Saccharomyces cerevisiae S288C: one gene and its partners. The gene in region 4 interacts genetically with the main gene of each other region. Each region holds a gene or a part of one and is shown on either strand. Other genes may lie near its edges. The genes, in order: DAL4, RGI1, TDA2 and YKL033W-A.

Region 1 (6,859 bases), on a different chromosome or scaffold from region 4:
CTGCCCGATGGATCTAACTTGATAGATTGCTTCAGCTTCCACTGCTTATAGGCTGGGTTGTCGAAATCGACAAAATCTCCACCCATTTTCTCAAAGAGATGTAATTGTTCCATGAAATTCTCGTTTGGCTCAACACTCGGTTTCTTCCTCTTGACAGCGTGCATAGCCATTGATAGTGACAATCCATAACGATACATTAGGTAGGCTACTATGAAGGTTACAGATCTCGAGAGTCCTGCTTGACAATGAGCAAAAACAGCACCACGTTGTGGTTTCTTCTTGAAATCTACTAATCTGGGCGAATACTCAACTTCATTGGGGAACAAGCATTGATCAATGAATCGGTTCGTTTCATCGAAGTATTGCAGCACATCAGTCACATCATCATCATCGATGGGTATGTTTTTTAGCGTGTAACCTTTCCTTATTAGATACTCTGGAATGACCTGGAATTTGATAACAGAAAGAATATGAGTAATGTTAAATTCTGCACCCAATGGTCTGTGGTCAATAATTGGACGGATTCCGCCAAGATATATGCCTCCTAATATCCTGGTAACTTCCTCGTCTACTGAGTTTGCATTTCCAGCCATCTTCCCTGTAATTTCTTGCTGCTTTTACTGCTTTCTCTGCGTTATACCTGTATTAGATGCATTCGATGAGCTGAGGTATAATTTTTTTTTTCAGTTAGATTTCTTTTTTTTAGCGCTAAGAAAATTTCAAAATTGCAGCCGTGGAGACCCAGATGGATATATTGTAGATCATTAAAAGTTGTGTCATCTCAAACTAAGAGTGGTTAATATATGTATGTGTGTAAATAACTTTTTATAAATTTGTTTCTTTTATTTCTATAGAATTTCTTTAATAAAAATTTGCAACTTTAGTTTAACGTCTAGAATCAAGCAAAGTTTGACCCAATGGTGTTTTCGAGACTCCGTTGGCATTCGTATATACCACCTGGCCTCTTAATATGGTTTTCAAAACTGTGCCCTTGACCGTCATCCCGTTGTAGGCAGTCAATTTGTTTTTGAAGTAGACACTTGAATTACTTATTTTATGTTTACTTGCAGTATCAAATACCACCAAATCAGCATCGTACCCGGGAGCTATAGTGCCTTTTTGGTGAGATAGTCCTACCTGATGGGATGTATTTTTACAGCACCATGTAACGATATCGACCAAAGAGCAGCCTTGGGTAAACATCAATGGCAAACCTAGTCCGACGGAAGCGATTCCTCCCCAAGAATCGAAAAAGTCACCTTTTTGCAAGTTCTTCAACTCAGGGGTGCATGGCGAATGGTCGCTCACTACTGAGCCTATAACACCTTCACGCAAAGCGTCCCATAGGCCTTGGCGATTAGACTCAGAGCGGATGGGTGGACAACATTTAAAGTAGGTGGCTCCGTCTGGGATCTGCTCTGCAGCAATACACAAATAGTGGAAACAAGTCTCTGTTGTGACTGGTAGCCCTGACGCACGTGCCTTTCTGATCAAGGGAATTGCTTTCATTGATGCCAGATGAACTATATGTACAGGAGGAACTGGTCCATTTCTGGCTCTCAAGCATTCGAGAATCAAATTGATGGCGTCTATTTCGAAAGAATCCGGCCTCGAGGACAAAAACGAAGAATATTCACGATGGCTTTGCTCGGGTTGCTGTTGGTCCTCATGTGCCTTGGGCAACTCAGCATGAAACATCATCATGGTATCCTCCTCGGCTAAGACCTTCAAGGCTTCTTCTATATATTCTTTGCCAATTGGAGGGAATTCTTCCACACCAGAATCAAGCAAGAATCCTTTGAACCCGCGAACGCCAGCTTTGACAAGCGGAATTAAGTCTGGCAAGTTGTGTGGTACCAGTCCACCCCAAAACCCAACATCGCACCACATTTGGCCCTCAGCAGCTTCCAATTTAATTCGGAAATTCTCCACATTTGTTGTGGGAGGAATAGCATTTAGCGGCATATCAACCACCGTTGTGACCCCGCCACTAATAGCAGCTTGAGTTCCAGTTTCGAATCCTTCCCAGCTAGTCCTACCGGGCTCGTTCAAGTGAACATGAGAGTCCACAAGTCCAGGCAGAATTGTACATGGAGATACGTTCTCCAGCGTATGTATTTCATATTTGGTTATCTCAGTTTTCTCCATAACCACGGAGCCTTCTAAAACATCCAGAATCGTGCCTGATTCGGTCGAATACACAATAGTCGCAGGTTTATTTGCACCATTGATAATGACATGGTCGGAAGTGATGGCATTGATAGGCATCTTTGTTCTTCGCAGTATTTCACTTTTTTTTTGCCTATACGTTTTTGCGAAATATACACTTTTCTAACCTAATTAAAGATAGCTAAAAGAAAAAGGGGTACCTTCAATTACAAGATACCAGTAGAAACTCATCACTTTTGCGTTACCTCATCATTGTCCCCTTCGATGAGATATGCCTCCTCTATATAGATAATTAAGCACCGCAATTTTGAACCACTTCTCCTGATAAAGTTCCATCAGTCCACCATCAACACATTTGCGCCTATTCGATGATCCGCAGTAAGGGACAATAGAATCGAAACATGCAGTTCCTTTCTTTCCTGCAATTCTCGGGTCTAATGTGGCTCGAGGGTATCTCTTATCGGTATTACTTTCTTATCAATGAAAAATTTCTGCCAGGGAAAATGCGCCCGCTTTTTTTCCGGCCATCCTTACTCGCTGTCGCATACAAAATAGCGCCTCTAATCTAGTTGCGATAAGGAATGTGTATGTGTAATTGAAGATCCAGGATGTTTTCCTTTTCAGGGAGATGAGAAGGAATAATAGGATGGATTGACCGCTTTGCTGTCACGTCGATAAGGTTCCTTTAAAAATTGTGTCCAATGATTAGCATAGAGAGGTAGAGTATCAGAGAAACAAGTTTGTAATCGAGAAACTTGATCTGCTAGTGTTGAGCATAGAAGGCTAGGAAAACATGGGGAAGAAAAAAAAAGTATAAATAATTAGCTTGATGAGTAGTTTGAATATATATGTTACTTTAGTTTCCCTTTTTGACCTTTTATATTCATCTACATCTTGTGATATAAAACATCAACAAAGACGAGAATGGCTAACGACGCTCTAAGTGCTATTTTCAGTAATCCTTCGAGGAAAGGTGTCCAACCCTCCACATCTATTGTGTCATATACAAACAATGAAGATGATATTATAGATGTGGAAAATGGGAAGTTCAACAAGAACAAGAATATCAACACTAATGTGTATGTGGACAACTCCTCAATAGAGGAGAGCGAAGTCGTGCCCTTGCCCGAAACAAAGTCCATCTGGAGTAAAATATACTACGATTTCATTGTGTTAGACAAGACAACTTTGAATGTTTCGTTGAAAGAGTCGTTCTTGTATAACAGAGACTTGAAACCGGTTGAAGAAGAAAGAAGGTGTTGGTCCTGGTTCAATTACTTATATTTCTGGCTGGCAGACTGTTTCAATATTAACACATGGCAAATAGCTGGTACAGGTCTACAACTAGGTCTGAATTGGTGGCAATGTTGGCTTACAGTTTGGATCGGCTACACTTTTGCAGGTATCTTCGTAGTATTGAACTCGAGATTTGGTTCCGCATATCACTTATCTTTCCCTATTACTGTTAGGGCCTCATTTGGTATATTCTTTTCTATGTGGCCGATTATAAATCGTGTCGTGATGGCTATAGTATGGTATGCCGTGCAAGCCTGGTTAGGTGCAACGCCCGTGGCACTGATGCTAAAATCTATTTTTGGCAAGAATCTGGAAGATAGAATCCCAAACCATTTTGGTTCTCCAAATAGCACTACTTTTGAATTCATGTGTTTCTTTATATTTTGGGTGGTCAGTATACCATTTGTCCTAGTGGCTCCTCATAAAATCAGGCATTTATTCACAGTAAAAGCAGCTTTGATCCCCTTCGCAGCCTTTGGATTTTTAATCTGGGCTTTGAAGAAATCGCACGGTAAAATTGAGTTGGGGACGCTGAATGATTATTCACCTCATGGTTCCGAATTTTCATGGATATTCGTTAGATCCCTAATGGCCTGTGTTGCTAACTTTGCCGCTTTGATTATCAACGCCCCTGACTTCGGTAGATTTGCCAAAAATCCTCAAGCGTCTTTGTGGCCACAATTGGTTGCCATCCCATTGTTCTTCGCCATAACATGTTTGATCGGTATCATTGTTACTGCGGCCGGTTATCACTTATATGGGGTTAACTATTGGTCACCACTGGATGTACTTGGTCAATTTTTGGAGACCACTTACACCAGAGGTACTAGGGCTGGTGTGTTCTTGATTTCTTTTGTATTTGCCTTAGCTCAACTGGGTACAAACATTTCTGCCAACTCTCTGGCATGTGGTGCTGATATGACGGCTTTGTTTCCAAGATATATTAATATTAGAAGAGGTTCTTTATTCTGTGTGGCAATGGCTCTATGTATCTGTCCATGGAACTTAATGGCCAGTTCAAGTAAGTTCACCAGCGCTTTGGGTGCTTATGCAATTTTCCTTTCCAGTATTGCTGGTGTCATTTGCGCGGATTATTTCGTAGTAAGAAGAGGATATGTGAAATTAACACATTTATTCCTGGCACAGAAGGGTTCCTTTTACATGTTTGGAAACAAATTTGGTGCCAATTGGAGGGCCTTTGTTGCGTATATTTGCGGTATCGCTCCAAATTTACCAGGTTTTATAGGTGATGTTGGAGCTCCAAAAATTACGGTTTCAGAGGGTGCAATGAGGTTATACTATTTAGGTTATCCGGTAGGTTTCTTTATTAGTGCGGTGATATACCTCATATTATGTTACTTTTTTCCTGTCCCTGGTACTCCCGTAACCAATTTTCTGACAGAGAAAGGATGGTTCCAAAGATGGGCTTATGTTGAGGACTTCGAGCAAGATTGGAAGAATGAGTTACGTAGGGATGACCTCTGCGATGACACAGTCAGTATCTATGATGGCACCGAGGAAAAGATAGTTTACTAAATAAAAATCCCAATTTATTCTCTTACCAGTAGTGATCAGGAGAATTGATAATTTCTTCAAAACACCTTAATATTCGTTCTGTGTATTTTTATGTACCTTTCTTAATCAAATTTATCAGCTTCATACATGCATTCCCGTCTGAATAATGTACTGATGATTAGCTAAACCGTCATCAACCTACCAAACTTGCGCTTGTTTGAGCCTATCAGAACTCCGGATAATTCCGACATCTTATCTTTGACTCGAATTAGCGATAAGATAAAAACACAGGAACCACAATGAAATTCAGCTGGAAGAAAAGTCTAAATTATAGACACATTTTCTGAGATCAAATGCTATAAAGGAATGGAAGTGCATTTTGCTATGATATGGGGAAATTATGAAGCCGATCAAACAATTAATTGTATCTAATCGGTCTCTTCTTTAGAAAAATGAAGTTTTTTAGTTTGGCAGATGAGGCAGAATTTAAGTCAATAATCATTTCAAAAAACAAAGCAGTAGATGTTATAGGATCTAAGTTAGGTGGTCAAGTGGTTTCTTTTTCAGATGAATGGTTTGCTTCTGCTGAAAATTTAATTCAGCCAACTGCTCCTATAAGGGATCCTACCAGATTTGTTCATTCAGGCGCATGGTACGACGGCTGGGAAACACGAAGACATAATGAGATGGAATACGATTGGGTTATCATCAAGATGGGAGTCGCTGCTGCCCATATTATTGGTGGTGAAATTGACACTGCGTTTTTCAATGGTAATCATGCACCATTTGTATCAATAGAGGCGCTCTATGACGAGGGCGAAGAAGGTAATATAGTGGAAGATGACTCGCGTTGGGTTGAGATTGTTGAGAAATTTGAGTGTGGTCCTTCGCAAAGGCATCTTTTCGTTAGAGGCAACGGCCTTACTAAAGAAAGGTTTACTCACATCAAGCTGAAGATGTACCCCGATGGAGGAATCGCCAGATTTAGATTATACGGAAGAGTTGTTCCTCCAGAACTCAAAACGAAGGATCATATAATTGACTTGGCTTATGTTTGCAATGGTGCTGTCGCTTTAAAGTATTCTGACCAACACTTCGGTTCAGTTGATAATTTGCTACTGCCAGGTCGAGGTCATGATATGTCGGACGGCTGGGAAACCAAAAGATCGAGACAACCAGGTCATACTGATTGGGCGGTAATTCAACTGGGCAGGGAGTCTTCTTTCATTGAGAAGATTATTGTTGATACGGCACACTTCAGGGGGAACTTCCCTCAGTTCATTACCGTGGAAGGTTGCTTGAAGGAGTCAGAATCAAGTGAGAACACTGGTGAAGGAACATGGGTAGAGCTAGTTGGTAAGTCAAAGACGGGGCCTGACAAAGAACATGTGTATGAAATACGTAAGAGTATAAGAGTCTCCCATGTCAAATTAACGATTATTCCAGATGGAGGAGTGAAAAGAATAAGAGTTTGGGGGTACTGATAAATACTTAACTACTGTATATTTTAAACCAATGCACTCTTGGCACTTTAAAAGTAAAGGTATAAATGTAGTTAAAAGTTTTTGTTTTGATAATTGAATGTTTTCATTTCGCTATCCCCACGCTACTTTATTTACTTCTTCTTCTTCACGACAAAACATTAAAATTTACACTCTATAAAAAACAATCATATTTCTATTTATTTTTGTGAGTTGACAAATCTTATCATAGTGATTAGAATCTGTAAACCGATCTCAATCGTGTCCAGAAACAGCGTGCCATCCCTTTGGAATGTTTTCGCCAGTTTATTTTGCAAACCCGAGAATCCTGCACAACCTAATATTACAATGTCTGAATCAAGCTTTTTAATATTTTCGCGATATATAATTTCTGCTAT
Region 2 (5,347 bases), on a different chromosome or scaffold from region 4:
CCGCCGGTGAAGGTGTGCCTGTGAAATTTTCACTTAGTAAATTGGTATTTGAACCAGCGGTACTGGTAGATATATTGTTGTGTATTCCAGATCTAGTGAATGCAGTTCCGCCACTTTGCTGTTGCGCTTGTTGTTTATTGTGGAGTTCTCTTTTATTAAAAGAATCAGCTTCTTCACCAGGTTCATGCAAAAACATACAGTTGGGATTTGGGCATGGCAATCCTCTTAAATAAGAAGAACAGTATTTAGTAGTACCGTAGGCAGCTTTGATCAGGCGGCCATCCATATACGTCCCGTCTACCTGAGCTATACATCTTGCAGCATCGTCCTTGGATCCGAAGGTTATGTAAACGCCATATCCTGGTGAATGATGGTGATAATGCTCGCTGGTTGTGTTGTTAGAATGGGGTGTTTTTCTATTAACCACAATCTTATTTATCTTACCATATTGGCCAAAATATTTTTCAGATTTCAGAGTGGGCGCAACTTCCTCGTATGGAACAGGAGGATTGATGCCAACAACGTACACTAAATTCTTTTGGATAACTCTGGTACCAGATAAATGTTTCCTATTCGTATATTCATTCTCTTTACGTTCTTTTTCTCTATGCTTTCTTTCTTTCTCCTTCCTAGCGAGCTTGGCTCTCTCCATTTTTAACTCCTCCGGAGATAATGTGACGTATCTGACGTTCTCGTCATCATATTTACGACGACATGCTGGGCAACGGCCATTTAATTCTGGATTTTGTCTGATATTATTGTAGCAAAATTGACAAATTTGATAACCACAGGGACAAGGAAAAAAATTTTTATCAGTAATATCCATTGGTTCAATACAAAGAGGGCAATAATCTTCTTCATCCTCCGATAAAAATGACGTATCAAAATTGCTTAAGGCGTTGTGGATTGCTTGCAAATTTTCTTGAACGTGTGGATTCATCATTATGACTGGATTATATACGATACTTTTATTTGGTCTTTTGTACTTTTTATTAAGTTTTGGGATTGTTGCAGAGTAACAAAAGCAGTAATCTATACTATTCGAACCACTACTGAAAACCCTAGGAGGGCTTTTACTGTATGTAGTACACGTCTTGATATGCTTTTCGGAAATTTTGAAAAGAGAAAGCAAAAAAAAAAATCATATTCACACTTACAATGTTACCCGGGAAGAGACGGCAATCAAGTGGAAGTTCGGGTAATAGCATTCATTTTAGAAGCGTCGATATAATCATCGACCAGGTAGTAGTTTAACAATACATTATCAGGTTTCGCGGCGTAACAGTGATACTACTTTATAGCGTTTCACGTCTTCGGGCTCAACATTTCAATAAAAAAAATTCAAAAAGTTGCTAATCGTAAATCATTAAAGGTACATAAAACTACTTATGAATTTGGGAGGTTAGGATTCAGTACTAACACATTCTCTATGACACAACCTTTAATTTGCGCCTACAGGATGTGTTTTGTAATCGACAAATACCATAGCATCTTCATGTGTGCAAACTACTTGAACGTCTATCTTGAAAGGTCTACCATGGTATTCAGTTTCCTCACCGTAATGCCAGGTGATTTTATCAAATGTCTCTTCCTTCGATTTTTCGTGAAATTTAAGCTCAGGTTTCCTAACGGCTTGCTTAATATCTTTCAAAAGATGCTTTTCAATATGCTGGTGCAGGTGACGCACGAACTTCTTAGAATGAGAATTTGCAGCATCACTAATTTTTTCAGGGTCCTCGTGCGACTCGTGTAGCACAAATGGTGGGTAGTAATTTAATTTACAGTGCAAATGATCGAAATCATCATCTTCAGTTTCATTGGCAATGAAAGTTTCAAAACCCTGCAGGTCTTCAAAAACTTTCACGGTTTCACCATCCTCCGTGGTAACCGTTTGAACTTTTACTTCCTTCTTATCCTTCTTTGTCATTTAAAGTGGAGACGAAAACAGTCGATACCTAATTTATATGTTCTATGGGCAATTATTAGAATACAATGCAGAACTTGTCCCTTTATGAAATGTTTTGACCAAAGAAATTTGAACGTGGAAGAACAAAAGATTCAAATATACGCTAGAAATCTTTTGCCTTATATATGTGCACACAATCAAGTAAAGACACTTGTATTTTTCCACCCAGCAATACCCCTTAAGAACGCTGCCCCTTTCATTCTATATTTAATTAACCATACAGTAACTTATAATACCCCTGATTACAGGATGCATTTGTTATGGAAGTCAATTGCCGAGAGCCGTCCACATTATGCTGGTTGCCTCGAGGATATTATTTTTTAGCACATCCGCAATCTCGCCACACCGCATTTCCGTTCCTTCGGCCCCTGAATCTGGGGTAAAAAAAAAAAAAGCAGTCATCTGGAGATTGTATCACCCAAAAAGAAATACGTTTCTGGCTCGTAACAGGTATGACAACACGTTGTCAGAATACCAAAGTTTAGTCTGAACATTTGACTGCGTGTATATCGGAAACGCTGGATTTTTGGTGCCACCTTCTTCGTTCATGGCATATGTGTAAGTCACGTAGGATTAATGTCATCAATTTCATGAGTTGAGTGAAAGTGCAACTTTACAATGTAGTCAACATACTGCACCGTCATCATTACATATTTCAGATTAAGGGTGATAATGCCGCTTTCATAATTCCTATTGAAACCTTGTATTGGCATATGATACTTCAGGAAGATGTGTTCGGCAATCGTTGCTTTTACTTCGGTACTCTTGACAGATTATGTCATTTATTCGCACCAGTAAGGATGTAGCTCTTGTCTTCTGTAGCCGAATTATCGAAGTTAATGAATAATATTACACACAGCTACAGTTTCAGGAAAAATATGAGACGAGTCGCAAATAAGCGGCCATTGTATACATTATGACAAAGTGAGTGTGATAATTACTGCATGGCCCAATGCATGAAAATATGGGTCAACTTGTACCACATTTGCTACAAATGGACGATAACTGAACTGGGCATAAACAAAATTACTTTTTCCTCGATTTTAGTCCTGCTGATTGAGCTAATAATACATAGCTCGCATGTAATTAATGTTGATATATTAAACTAATAAATAGCACATAACTTATTAATGTAAATTCTAAAGTTTTATATTTGTTTACACCGAAAAAGTACAACTGAGTTCCAAACGTGACAAGGTAAGTTCTGCATCATTCTCACATCAATCTTCAACTAAAGTCCAAAATTTCTAAAAGATTTCGCTTGTCTCGTTCTACCGCTGCCACAAGTGTGTTGTCCTTAAAACTAACGTTCCAAACATTATCAGCACCACTCAATGTATCTGAACGGACTAACAGCCCACTATTTAAATCATAAATATTGAGCAAACCTTCAGATCCACTCACTAATACCTCATCAGAAACGTGCAATGCGGTGATTGTATTCAACTGCGTGTGATCGAAAAAGTGCTTCAGAAAGTAAGTGTTAGCGTCCCAACACCTTATTGAACCGTCTACAGAAGCACTGACTAAAAATTTATCGGATAATCCCAATAAACCGACTAGGGCTCTGTGACCCCGCAAAGTGTACATAGCACCAAGTATTTTGGCGCATGGCGATGCTGAATTTGTTGCGTAGGAACATTCTCCATTATTCCTTATATTTTCCAAATCCCAAATTCTAATAGTGGTATCCATACTGGCAGAGATGCACCTTTTTCTTTCATGATCGTAGATTGTCGAATAAATACGATCCGTATGTCCACTCAAGATATATAGACATTTCATTTGCGCAACATCCCACACAATCAATGTATTATCATAGGAGCCACTAATGGCAATATTACCGTGGCCTGAGACAGTTCTTACAGTCGCCGTATGTCCTCTTAAAACACCAACAAAATATGGGTTCTCCTCAGGGGTATGAAAGACTAATGGATAATCATGTTCTTCCCCATGATCAGGAACGGAGGACTCCTTGGGCAATTTCCAAACGTGCAAAGTGTTATCTCTCGAACCAGTAACAATGTACTTGATATTTTTATATTCTACTATATCTAGGCACCTCACCGTAGAGTTATGACCTTTAAACACATGGGTACAACAACCTTTCTTAATATCTCAAACTCGCACCGTTCTGCCTGTAGAACCGCTGACTAAAATACCGCCATGGGCATACTTCAATGCCCAAACCTCACCATCATGACCTGATAGTTGTAAAAGAAATCTTTTATTTACTAAGTTATAAACTCTGATCGTTTTATCACATCCTCCTGTAATGACATAATTATCTTCAACTTGCAAGCACGCAATAACACTCGTCATATGGCCACTTAACGTGGTCCTTTGAGGTGTATAATCAGGATCAAACAAATTTACCAAAACAGACATTTCAGACACAACTTCCAGTACTTTATTAAAGCTTCGCAGATAGACGTTCTGATATAATTCCAAGGTAATAGAAAGCGATTGCTGTTTAAGTTGAACATGGTTTGCATTGATTTATTTAAACTTCGGGTAAATTGCTGGCTGCAACTTTCATTTAGACGAAAATGCAAAATCAATTGCCCCTTGTTGATAGCTTTAAGTGGAAGCCGTTGACTAGGTTTTAACGGGAGTGTGACTCCAAATGAAAAAATTATTGAAAGCTAAGATTATTTTGCACTATGACATTCTCGATAATCCCTTGGAAAGATTTAAGTGATTAGTCCGAGTACCGATATGGTTGAGAATCAAAGGTTTCTTTTCACAACGGTGACCCCACCATTTGAAAAAAAAAAAAAAATGAAAACGATGGCAACGCCCTTATCTGGCGTGGTTATTACCATAGAAAAGTTTATTCAATGTTTTTGTTATTCTCACTGACACAGACAGCATTTTGGAATATTGCATTCCTAACATATTGCTACATTAGCAATTGAAAGGGCAGTCGGAACTATCACGTAGTTTGAAAATGTCTTCCCGCTTAGCTCATTATGCATAAGCTTGTGCACGGCGTCATGGTCCATTTACTGTACATGGTAAGAAAGTTTTATTCCACCTACACTGATGTTGGCTGGTATGTTGATGGTTTTTGATAATTCACGTGTAATTAAGAACATCGAAACACTATCTGATGTATTTTTTATTGTTGAAATTTCTGACTCGTTTACAACCTACAAGCCCATACTGAGCTAAGTTTGCCATGTGCCCATCTATCTGTATTCGTGTCGAATCGGAAAATTATTATGGTACTTTTGTGTTGGAGATGGACAATAGAACGGTATGATGAGGCTTTGGTATTTTCATTTTAACAAGTGAATTTGAGAATTGGGTGATTTGTGATTATATTTGGGTGCACTGTTGGAAAAGGCTATAATATTACGCATACAGGATATACTGGTA
Region 3 (5,126 bases), on a different chromosome or scaffold from region 4:
ACGTTCAAGAGTCTAAGGTAGAAGTTCCTGAAGTACCTGCCCCAACTAAGAATGAAGAAAAAGCTGCCCCCATCGTTGATGATGAGGAAACCGAGTTCGACATTTACAACTCTAAGGTTATAGCATGTGCTATTGATAACCCAGAAGCTTGTGAAATGTGTTCGGGTTAATGAGGGCTAAGTTTTTATTTCTTCAATTCTATTTATCAAAATTTGGGTGTTTACTTCGAGGTGTAATTTATATTTTCTTTTGTTTTCTCTGATAAAAAAATTGGTTTCCATTCTAATGCCAAGCTAAAAGGTACCTATATATGTTTACTAATTATTTTTCTACTTTGCATATATACATAAAAAAAGTCGAATAATTTAACATGAACATTTTAAGCTGTCCTTGTAAGAAGGCCATGATACAGATTCCCCCCTGCCCCGAAATGGGGTCTAGGCAACATTGTTCTATAAAGGAACGCAACTTTATGTGGCAACATTAAAGCAAATACATATCTACTTGTGAAGCCAAAGAATTGTAATTAAATAGCACTCATTATTATTTTTGTCTTCTAGTTTATAGTTGAATATACCATCTTTTTTAGATTCCCAGGATGCGCCTATATCGTTCTTCAATGAGAAATTAGCGTTTTCTTCGTTGAGTCCTTCAATGTTCAACGTCGTTACCGAGGCAATATATTTATACAAAGAAGAGTGCTTTTCAAGTTTTTCTAGGACCAGTTTTATAAGAAGGTTGGAAGTTGATTCGGTCGATAAATTGATTTCATTGTCATCTTTTAAACTATCATAACTTTCTTGAATTAACGTAACTAGTTTTCTTTCGGGCAGAGGAGAGTTATCACTCCTTCCATCCTTTATTTCAATCTGCATACTCATTTTTTTGTTGACTTTCGTAATCACTTACTTTCACTTATCCTAAATAATTTACAGTGCGTTTTGTAAAACTGCAAGACGGTATCCGCTAATAGAGAGAAGAATACGTATTTTCTAGTAAAGAAATTTACAAAAAAGGAGGTATATTGGCATCGCTATTTTCGGATAGAATGGCAAGAGCGATTAAGTATAGCAAACTGGGAAATGTATAGAGACAAGAAATAATGAGACTCTCTCTTCAAGTATCTTTGAGCACGTATCAGATAACTAATGGTTATATCGCTTGTTACGGTCGGTGATACTTCACTTTGAAATAGATATTAGCACGTGTCTCGGAGAGAAGAAAATGAATGCTGCATTATACAAAATAGATAACAGTATTTAAGAGTCCATATTTCCATAACCAGCGACTTGCATACACGTAACATACGATTTACTACATTATCGAATACGATTAAACACTACGCCAGATTTCCACAATATGTCTTCAGCACCATTATTACAAAGAACACCTGGGAAAAAGATCGCTTTGCCCACACGAGTTGAGCCAAAAGTGTTCTTTGCCAATGAGCGTACCTTTTTGTCGTGGTTGAACTTTACAGTTATGCTGGGAGGCCTTGGTGTAGGTTTACTGAATTTTGGTGACAAGATAGGTAGGGTCAGTGCAGGACTATTTACTTTTGTTGCCATGGGTACAATGATATACGCGCTTGTAACATACCACTGGAGAGCTGCTGCGATTAGACGTAGAGGATCAGGTCCTTATGATGACAGATTGGGGCCCACTTTGTTGTGCTTTTTCTTATTGGTTGCTGTCATTATCAACTTTATATTAAGATTGAAGTACAATGACGCTAACACTAAGTTATGAAATTGTAATTCCAATATCGTAAGCGTGGGTTACGCACAAACTGTATTTTCAAGATGCTCACAAATAATTTAGTTTCATATATACGCATATATAGAAAGTATCCATCTATAGGTAATCATGAACAATAAAAATATTCACGTTTCAGGAGCTATTGTTTGTACTCATTACGTTTTTGGATATCAAGTTGAAAATCAGCCCCTTTCACTAGATATCAAGCGCTATAAAAAAATTTTAATTTCGATGAGGCATCTTTCTTTTCTCTTGTGGCTATGTAAGCCTAAGAAGCCGTTTACACATCAATGATAAATAAGTATACAAAAAGGGTTCCATTTTTTTTTTTGGCCGCTACCGGACTAGCAAGGGCCTAATGGTACGCTGAGCGTAGTACAACCAAGCGCTTGTTAGCCGTAGAGTTAAGCTCTTGACTACTATTACGGTAAAAGCCGGGAACGTGCGTAACAATTTTTTTTTGCATTAGGTTAAAGAGGCTCGCTCGCGGAGCCTTTAGAATACCGCTTAAGGCGCCAAAAGATGGAAGCTATTCTCTTTCTTTTTTTTTTCACAAACTGAGAGGGGTTGTGTATCGTTAAAAATGTTGGAAGACTTCTGACTCATCACTACGCAGATTGTTAGAGTTTTTCGATGAGAATGGCTTCAAAGAACAGAACAAAACACGATTATATAAGCCCCATGTAAAAAGAACGTCTTAATTTATTTTGAATTTAGGACTTCTTGACATTTTTAGCATATATAACAATACGATAAGTGTCTCATCAAACGTGGTTAAGACAGAAAACTTCTTCACAACATTAACAAAAAGCCAAAGAAGAAGAAATGCTTTCTCGCACAAGAGCTGCAGCTCCGAATTCCAGAATATTCACTAGAAGCTTGTTACGTCTTTATTCTCAAGCACCATTACGCGTTCCAATTACTCTTCCAAATGGTTTCACCTACGAACAGCCAACAGGGTTATTCATCAATGGTGAATTTGTTGCCTCGAAGCAAAAGAAAACGTTTGACGTGATCAATCCATCTAACGAAGAAAAGATAACAACTGTATACAAGGCTATGGAAGATGATGTTGATGAAGCCGTTGCAGCGGCTAAAAAAGCTTTTGAAACGAAGTGGTCTATTGTAGAGCCGGAGGTTCGCGCTAAAGCTTTATTCAATCTCGCTGACTTGGTTGAGAAACACCAAGAAACACTGGCTGCCATTGAGTCAATGGATAATGGTAAGTCATTGTTTTGTGCGCGCGGTGACGTCGCTTTAGTATCTAAATACTTGCGTTCTTGCGGTGGTTGGGCAGATAAAATCTACGGTAACGTTATTGACACAGGTAAAAACCATTTTACCTACTCAATTAAGGAACCATTAGGCGTTTGCGGCCAAATAATCCCTTGGAACTTCCCTTTATTGATGTGGTCATGGAAAATTGGGCCTGCTCTGGCTACAGGTAACACCGTCGTATTGAAACCCGCTGAAACAACACCTTTATCTGCCCTTTTCGCTTCCCAGTTGTGTCAGGAAGCAGGCATACCCGCTGGTGTAGTCAATATCCTTCCGGGTTCCGGTAGAGTTGTTGGAGAAAGATTGAGTGCACACCCAGACGTGAAGAAGATTGCTTTTACAGGCTCTACTGCCACCGGCCGCCATATTATGAAGGTCGCTGCCGATACTGTCAAGAAAGTCACTTTGGAGCTGGGAGGTAAATCACCAAATATTGTGTTTGCTGACGCTGATCTAGATAAAGCCGTCAAGAACATTGCCTTCGGTATTTTTTACAACTCTGGTGAAGTTTGCTGCGCTGGTTCCAGAATATACATTCAAGATACAGTATACGAGGAGGTGTTGCAAAAACTAAAGGATTACACCGAGTCACTAAAGGTCGGTGACCCATTTGATGAGGAAGTTTTCCAAGGTGCTCAAACATCTGACAAACAGCTGCATAAAATTTTAGACTATGTCGATGTAGCAAAATCAGAGGGGGCTCGTCTTGTGACTGGAGGGGCCAGACATGGCAGTAAAGGTTATTTTGTCAAGCCAACAGTGTTTGCTGATGTCAAAGAAGATATGAGAATTGTTAAGGAGGAAGTGTTTGGTCCCATTGTAACTGTATCCAAGTTTTCTACTGTTGATGAAGTGATTGCTATGGCAAATGATTCTCAATATGGGTTAGCCGCAGGTATTCACACTAACGATATTAACAAGGCTGTTGATGTGTCCAAAAGAGTGAAAGCTGGTACTGTTTGGATAAATACCTATAACAACTTCCACCAAAATGTTCCTTTCGGTGGCTTCGGCCAGTCAGGTATTGGCCGTGAAATGGGTGAGGCTGCTTTAAGTAACTACACTCAAACAAAATCTGTCAGAATTGCCATTGACAAGCCAATTCGTTGAAGTAACTCAGGCCCGAGTTGACTGCTCATTGAAGGTATGTATGATAAACATTATAGAATAATGAAAAATGCCTCGTGACATACAGATAAAATCTAACAAGGATATATTCAAAAAAAAAAAAACAAAACAAAAAAATAATAACGTGATAAACATTAATGAACAATGTATTTACATTCTTAAGCATAGGTGAGAAATTACCTTCTTTACTTTTTTTTTTTTTTTTGGTGATATTGTATATTGAAATATATAGTAATCAAATTCGTTTCATTGATCAAATTGCTCACTAGTTCTGTTTTTCAAAATTTCATCTTTATAGGTAGATACAAGTGCCAGAGAGATATATAAACAGAAAACTCTATCGATGTGATAATGTATGCCAATATCGGGACTGTACACCCACACATTTACAAGCCCACACATCCTACAACTTTCTTTTCATTTCTTGCGCTTCTTCCACTGTCATAAAATATGATTGTCCGATGCCGCAGCCTACGCCTCGGCGAGTATTCATCACCTAAGCGTCCTGTAGGCGGGGCCACGCAGTCACTAACGGAATACTCCAGAAGGCTGCTTCCTTTGGAAGGAAGTTTCACTCGGTTGTCCACCCAGCGCTTTAACTTTGTCTCAGCGAAGAAGAATTGAATAACTATAGTGAATTTCAAGAGCTAGAGGATGGTTAGGTATTAGTTCAAAACAAAGATTTCAAGAAACCAACATAGATTAAGCAGAAATGGTATGTTAAAAAGTGCTCAGATGAAAGATGACGTCCCATATTCCATGTTAAAGTTGCCATGAGTTAGTATAAAAGGCAATAAAGGTACCATAACGAGAAAAGAAAGTAAAAGAAGAAATGTTTTGCAAATTTAAGGTGGCGTAACAGCAACTATTGGCTAATATATTAATGGCAATCATTGTGAAAAGAAATGTGAAATCCGTATCGTAATTGGTTAAATTTATAACTCAAATTTAAACACTCGAAT
Region 4 (5,269 bases):
AAAGATTATGATCGATGGTTTCCCAATCAAAACTACATGGTTTTGCCCAACGATGTCATAGAGGCCATAAATACTGAAGTCTGGAATACTTCGAATGATGACGCTTCCAACCTTTTCCCTCCCAATATTACAAGCACCCTGTTAGGTAAAATCGACCTTGTATCAAATAACAAGTACGAAAAGATAAGGATGCCTGTACCCAGATTCTATGAGCCGGCAACTGATTTTTCAGAGGATATTCCTCCTGAAGGTGAGACGTACTGGTCTGAGTGGCCTTCGTATGGCGAACTTCATAATGTGAGTTTTCAGCATGGCGAAATAGCTATTCAAATTTCTCATATGAGCAATCTTCAGGACAATAATAATTACTTAAGGAGAAATTTCATAAATAAGAAAAATGACCGTTGGAAGTTGTTAAATCTTCAGATTGATTTCTCAGATAAGGCTGAAAAGGAAAAGCATTCCATATACTCGAAGGCTGTATATGACATTCAACGTGGTAGAATTCTTTCTATTTCTCAGAGTTCTAAATTTCATTCATTGTTCGCCCTTCCTCATTACATGTCCTTCCAGAATGATTATAATGAGAAAATATTTAATGATGTCAAGGAACTCGTTGATGAATTTTGGAATTTCACGGATTACACAGATGTCATGACCATGAAAGACGTACAGGATGCTTATAATAATGCCAACTTTAAATGTGAGTATTTGATTTTTCTTCAGTTGGAACCATGGAATCAGTACACAAGAGATCAGATCAAGTTAATAGATGATGAATTGAATTGGCCCCTGGGGCGTCCGGCAAATCTGTCTAGTTTACCGCCCATAAATGTTGTCTCTGGATTACTGTATTCTCCAGACTGTGGCGTACGATTAGGGCTTCATAACGTAAAGGGTACACGGTACGAATTAAAAATAATGTCGATCAGAAAACATCTATTGTTCGGTATTGCATTATTTGCAGCCCAGATATACTTATTGCTTACTCAGATGCATCATACAAATACCCCCTCCATGGTCAACAAAATCTCATTCTATTGTTTCTCAATGATAAACTTAGTCGATGGTTCCTTGGCCACTTTGTACTTTGTCGCAGCTAGTGTCGTTCCCGAATTGTACTTACCCCTAGTTATAAGTGCTTTTTCGTGCTTTATCTTGGCATCTATTTTTGAAATACGCTACTTAATTTCAATTTACGCTTCACAGGTTAACGAACAGAATGTTGGGATTATCAACCTCCTGCGTGGTAACACTGGCACATATGATGAGAATAGGCCAAGACCCGCATTCATTCCCGATGAAGGGTCTATCGGTGGCTCGTTATATGGTAGGTTTTTCTTTATGCTAATCATTTTCACGTTTTTAATATTGAGTTCAACTTCATGGCCCCGTCAGCTAAGGATGGTATTTGAGTATATCCTAATCTTCATATTAAACTCATATTGGATCCCTCAAATTTTCCGTAACGCCGTTAAAGGTATTCCTTCAAGAAGAGAAAGAGCAAGATCTAGCATTGGAGGAAATAGAAGTCAAAACAAAATGCCATTATTGTGGAGTTTTGTAATTGGTACAACAATAATTAGAAGCTTGCCCGTTGTGTATGTTTTCACTTACTCCTCTAATGTGTTCAGGCACCATAAAGATGTTCATTTCGTCGTATTTTTATCATTGTGGCTACTGTTTCAAATTAGTATACTGTATTCTCAAGATGTATTGGGATCGCGCTGGTTCTTGCCTAAGCACACAATACCTGATGGATATTCGTATTTCAAGCCCCTTTCAAACGAGTATATATCGGAGCATGGTGGTGGAACTGCTGAACATACCGTTGATTGCGCGATATGTATGTCTGATGTTCCAATTTACATAGAGGAAATTCCAGAAACTCATAAGGTGGATCAGCACTCTTACATGGTAACGCCTTGTAATCACGTATTTCATACTTCGTGTCTAGAAAACTGGATGAATTATAAGTTACAATGTCCTGTGTGTAGGTCACCATTACCTCCGTTGTAGATAGCATCTCTTGATCCTAAGAACTATATACTGTATTTGTATTCAAGATCCAAGATACCGTGACATTTCCTATTTGTCAACCATTGCAATAAGAAATTTTACATGAATAGTGCATTAACTTTTTATTACCACTAAAGTAGTTTTGCTTAAATATACAATAGGCAAACTAGACTTAGGATAATTCACAAGGGTTTTTAGTGTTACCCTTTTTCCGTATGACACATTTTTCGAGGAATTAATTATTGGGAAAATATTGCCGATCAAGATCCATTGAGGTGAATCTAAATCGCTCCAACTCCAAGTTGGGGAATCTTAAGACCGTCACTGCCTTCCAATTACACTGCTTTTGTTTCTTTGACAATAAGAACGCAAAAGTAAATTTCTTTTTTTTAACAAATTATGACACATCCTGTAGCAGTGAAGGCATGTCTATTTGACATGGATGGTCTTCTCATCAACACAGAGGATATTTATACTGAAACTTTAAATGAAACTCTCGCAGAATTTGGTAAGGGACCTTTAACTTGGGATGTGAAGATTAAATTGCAAGGGCTTCCGGGACCGGAAGCAGGAAAAAGGGTGATCGAACACTACAAATTACCAATAACTTTAGATGAGTACGACGAAAGAAATGTTGCATTGCAATCTCTTAAATGGGGTACTTGCGAATTTCTTCCCGGTGCATTGAATTTGTTGAAATACTTAAAGTTAAAGAACATTCCTATTGCATTATGTACGTCTTCGAACAAGACTAAATTTCGCGGCAAAACAAGTCATTTAGAGGAAGGTTTTGATCTTTTCGATACCATTGTCACTGGTGATGATCCAAGAATTGCAAAAGGTAGGGGTAAGCCTTTCCCGGACATTTGGCAGTTGGGTTTAAAGGAATTGAATGAGAAGTTTCATACCGATATTAAGCCCGATGAGTGTATAGTGTTCGAAGATGGTATTCCAGGCGTAAAATCAGCCAAGGCATTTGGTGCACACGTTATTTGGGTCCCCCATCCAGAAGCACATGCTGTTTTGGGGGACACAGAAGCTTTGTTAGCCGGTAAAGGTGAACTATTGTCTTCTTTGGAAAAACTGGAAATGTCCAAATATGGACTGTGAATTTCCAGTATTTACGTAAACAATATATTTGTATATTGCACTAAGTATAAAAAGGGATGATTTGTATTTGATTTATCACACTACTTTATGTGGTGAGCTCAGTTATTTTTGTATAATATACTATAGTACATGTTTGGGTTTTTATCGTTTTATTTCAATCTCATTACAATAAAATATTATAGTGAACATGCACATCGAAAGGAAAGATTGCAATAGCTGGTGTTCAAAAGCTTTGTGCAAATGAATTCAGACACGAATGCATTTAAGGACATAAGAATTTCATGTGTTGAACTTTCTAGGATCGCTTTTTTACCCACCGAATCATTTGATCCAAATTCATTAACGCTATTGGCATGTTTAAAAAAAGTTGAAGAGAAGTTATCAGCATACGAAGACGATTCACTTTCGCCAAAATTTGCAGATTATGTTTTTGTTCCTATCGCGAGTTTATTGAAACAGCCAGCTCTCGGCGAGTCTCAAACAGAATACGTCCTACTAATTATATTTCATCTCTTACGGACATGTTGGTCATCTAATGGTAAATTCTCCGAGCAATTGGGACAACAACTGTTCCCCTTAATCACATTTTTAGTCAGTTCTGATAAAGATAATCAAAAATTAATTACTAGATCAGACGAGTTCAAGTACGCTGGTTGTTTAGTCTTGCATCAGTTTTTCAAATCAGTAAGATCGCAAAGGTACCATAAAGAGTTCTTTTCGAACTCAAAACCTAATTTACTTCCCGCTCTAGGACATTCTGTTACCATTCTGTTGAAAATTCTGGAGCAATCGCCCCAAAATAATGAGCTTCAATTCAAAGCTTTGGCATCCTTAGAAGTACTATTTCAGGACATAATATCTGATGGTGAAATGCTTTCCTTTATTCTTCCGGGGAACGTTTCTGTTTTCGCTAAGATACTTACTAAACCAGGCCGTCAAATACATTATAAGGTGTGTGTTCGCACGCTAGAGGTTCTGGCAAAATTATTGGTTTTGGTTTACGATGATTTTAGTTTGGATATCAAAGTAAATAAGTTAACAGATATTCGAGAGTTGAGCGATACAAAGTTAAAACACGAGATAAATCAATCATTTATGTTTAATGGACCTATTGTTTTGTTACGCACAGATGGGAAGACGCATAGAGATACAAGTTGGTTGACGGCAACTTCTGGGCAAATCAATATTGCTTTGGAGGCCTTTATACCCAAACTATTAAAACGTAATAATGAATCAATTGATGAGGCATTAGCGACATTTGTATCAATCCTTTTAACTAGATGTGAAAATTCTTTAAATAATTGTGAGAAAGTGTTGGTATCCACTTTAGTACATTTGGAGCGTGATCCGATGTCCAAATTACCATCGCATTTGGTAAAATTAAAGGAAGTTGTCAATGAAGACCTGCACAAGCTAAGTGACATTATTCGGTTTGAAAATGCAGATAGGTTATCATCTTTATCATTTGCAATCACTATTCTAGAGAAAAATAACGAAAGAGATACAATGATCAATGAGGTAGTTAGATGTTTATTTGAATCGCTTAATGAATCTATTGAGCCACCAAGTTTGATCAATCATAAAGAGAGAATAATTGAACAAAGTAGTCAATTAACAACTACAGTAAATTTCGAAAACTTGGAAAGTACGAATGCTCTGATTGCTTTACCAAGATTATCAGAAGACATGTCACTCAAACTGAAAAAATTTACATACCATATGGGTTCTTTGTTGTTAGAAAGACATATTCTCAACGATGTGGTGACAGAGTTGATTTCAGAACAAGTTGATTCACCAAGAACGCAGAAGATAGTTGCGCTGTGGTTAAGCACCAATTTTATAAAGGCTATGGAAAAGCAACCGAAGGAGGAAGAAGTCTATCTACAATTTGAATCTGATGCCAACTATTCCTCTTCCATGGTTGAAGAAGTGTGTTTGATTGTATTGGAATTTTGCAATGAACTTTCTCAAGACATTAGCATGGAGATTGAAGGTAAAGGCATAAAAAAAAGTGATGAGTTTGCCGTATGTACAGTTTTATTCTCTATTGAAACGATTTGTGCGGTAATGAGAGAAGAATTTCAACCAGAATTGATTGACTATATATACACAGTAGTTGACGCCTTGGCATCACCGTCCG

The links.
Region 1: mutations in YKL033W-A (region 4) and DAL4 together harm fitness more than expected from each alone (negative genetic interaction), as found in Saccharomyces cerevisiae (2 studies listed by BioGRID).
Region 2: mutations in YKL033W-A (region 4) and RGI1 together harm fitness more than expected from each alone (negative genetic interaction), as found in Saccharomyces cerevisiae (2 studies listed by BioGRID).
Region 3: mutations in YKL033W-A (region 4) and TDA2 together harm fitness more than expected from each alone (negative genetic interaction), as found in Saccharomyces cerevisiae (2 studies listed by BioGRID).

The regions. Positions count from the first base shown.
Region 1 is NC_001141.2:405,375-412,233, forward strand, and holds DAL4 (allantoin permease), read left to right. Parts: upstream 1-3,093; coding exon 3,094-5,001; downstream 5,002-6,859. Other genes in the region: tyrosine protein phosphatase YVH1, read right to left, coding at 1-593; DAL1 (allantoinase), read right to left, coding at 886-2,268; DAL2 (allantoicase), read left to right, coding at 5,433-6,464; DCG1 (Dcg1p), read right to left, coding at 6,662-6,859. UniProt on the Saccharomyces cerevisiae protein: Transport of allantoin.
Region 2 is NC_001137.3:288,646-293,992, reverse strand, and holds RGI1 (Rgi1p), read right to left. Parts: upstream 1,928-5,347; coding exon 1,442-1,927; downstream 1-1,441. Other genes in the region: CCR4-NOT core ubiquitin-protein ligase subunit MOT2, read right to left, coding at 1-943; RRT13 (Rrt13p), read right to left, coding at 3,194-3,751. UniProt on the Saccharomyces cerevisiae protein: Involved in the control of energetic metabolism and significantly contribute to cell fitness, especially under respiratory growth conditions.
Region 3 is NC_001137.3:301,447-306,572, forward strand, and holds TDA2 (Tda2p), read right to left. Parts: upstream 882-5,126; coding exon 501-881; downstream 1-500. Other genes in the region: ribonucleotide-diphosphate reductase subunit RNR1, read left to right, coding at 1-170; VTC1 (Vtc1p), read left to right, coding at 1,360-1,749; aldehyde dehydrogenase (NAD(P)(+)) ALD5, read left to right, coding at 2,584-4,146; 40S ribosomal protein eS24 RPS24A, read left to right, coding at 4,877-4,879.
Region 4 is NC_001143.9:372,087-377,355, forward strand, and holds YKL033W-A (haloacid dehalogenase superfamily protein), read left to right. Parts: upstream 1-2,418; coding exon 2,419-3,129; downstream 3,130-5,269. Other genes in the region: ubiquitin-protein ligase TUL1, read left to right, coding at 1-2,019; TTI1 (Tti1p), read left to right, coding at 3,370-5,269. UniProt on the Saccharomyces cerevisiae protein: Nucleotidase with XMP as the best in vitro substrate. Low catalytic efficiencies of YKL033W-A observed with XMP and other substrates suggest that these could be secondary activities for this protein, and its primary substrate is not yet identified.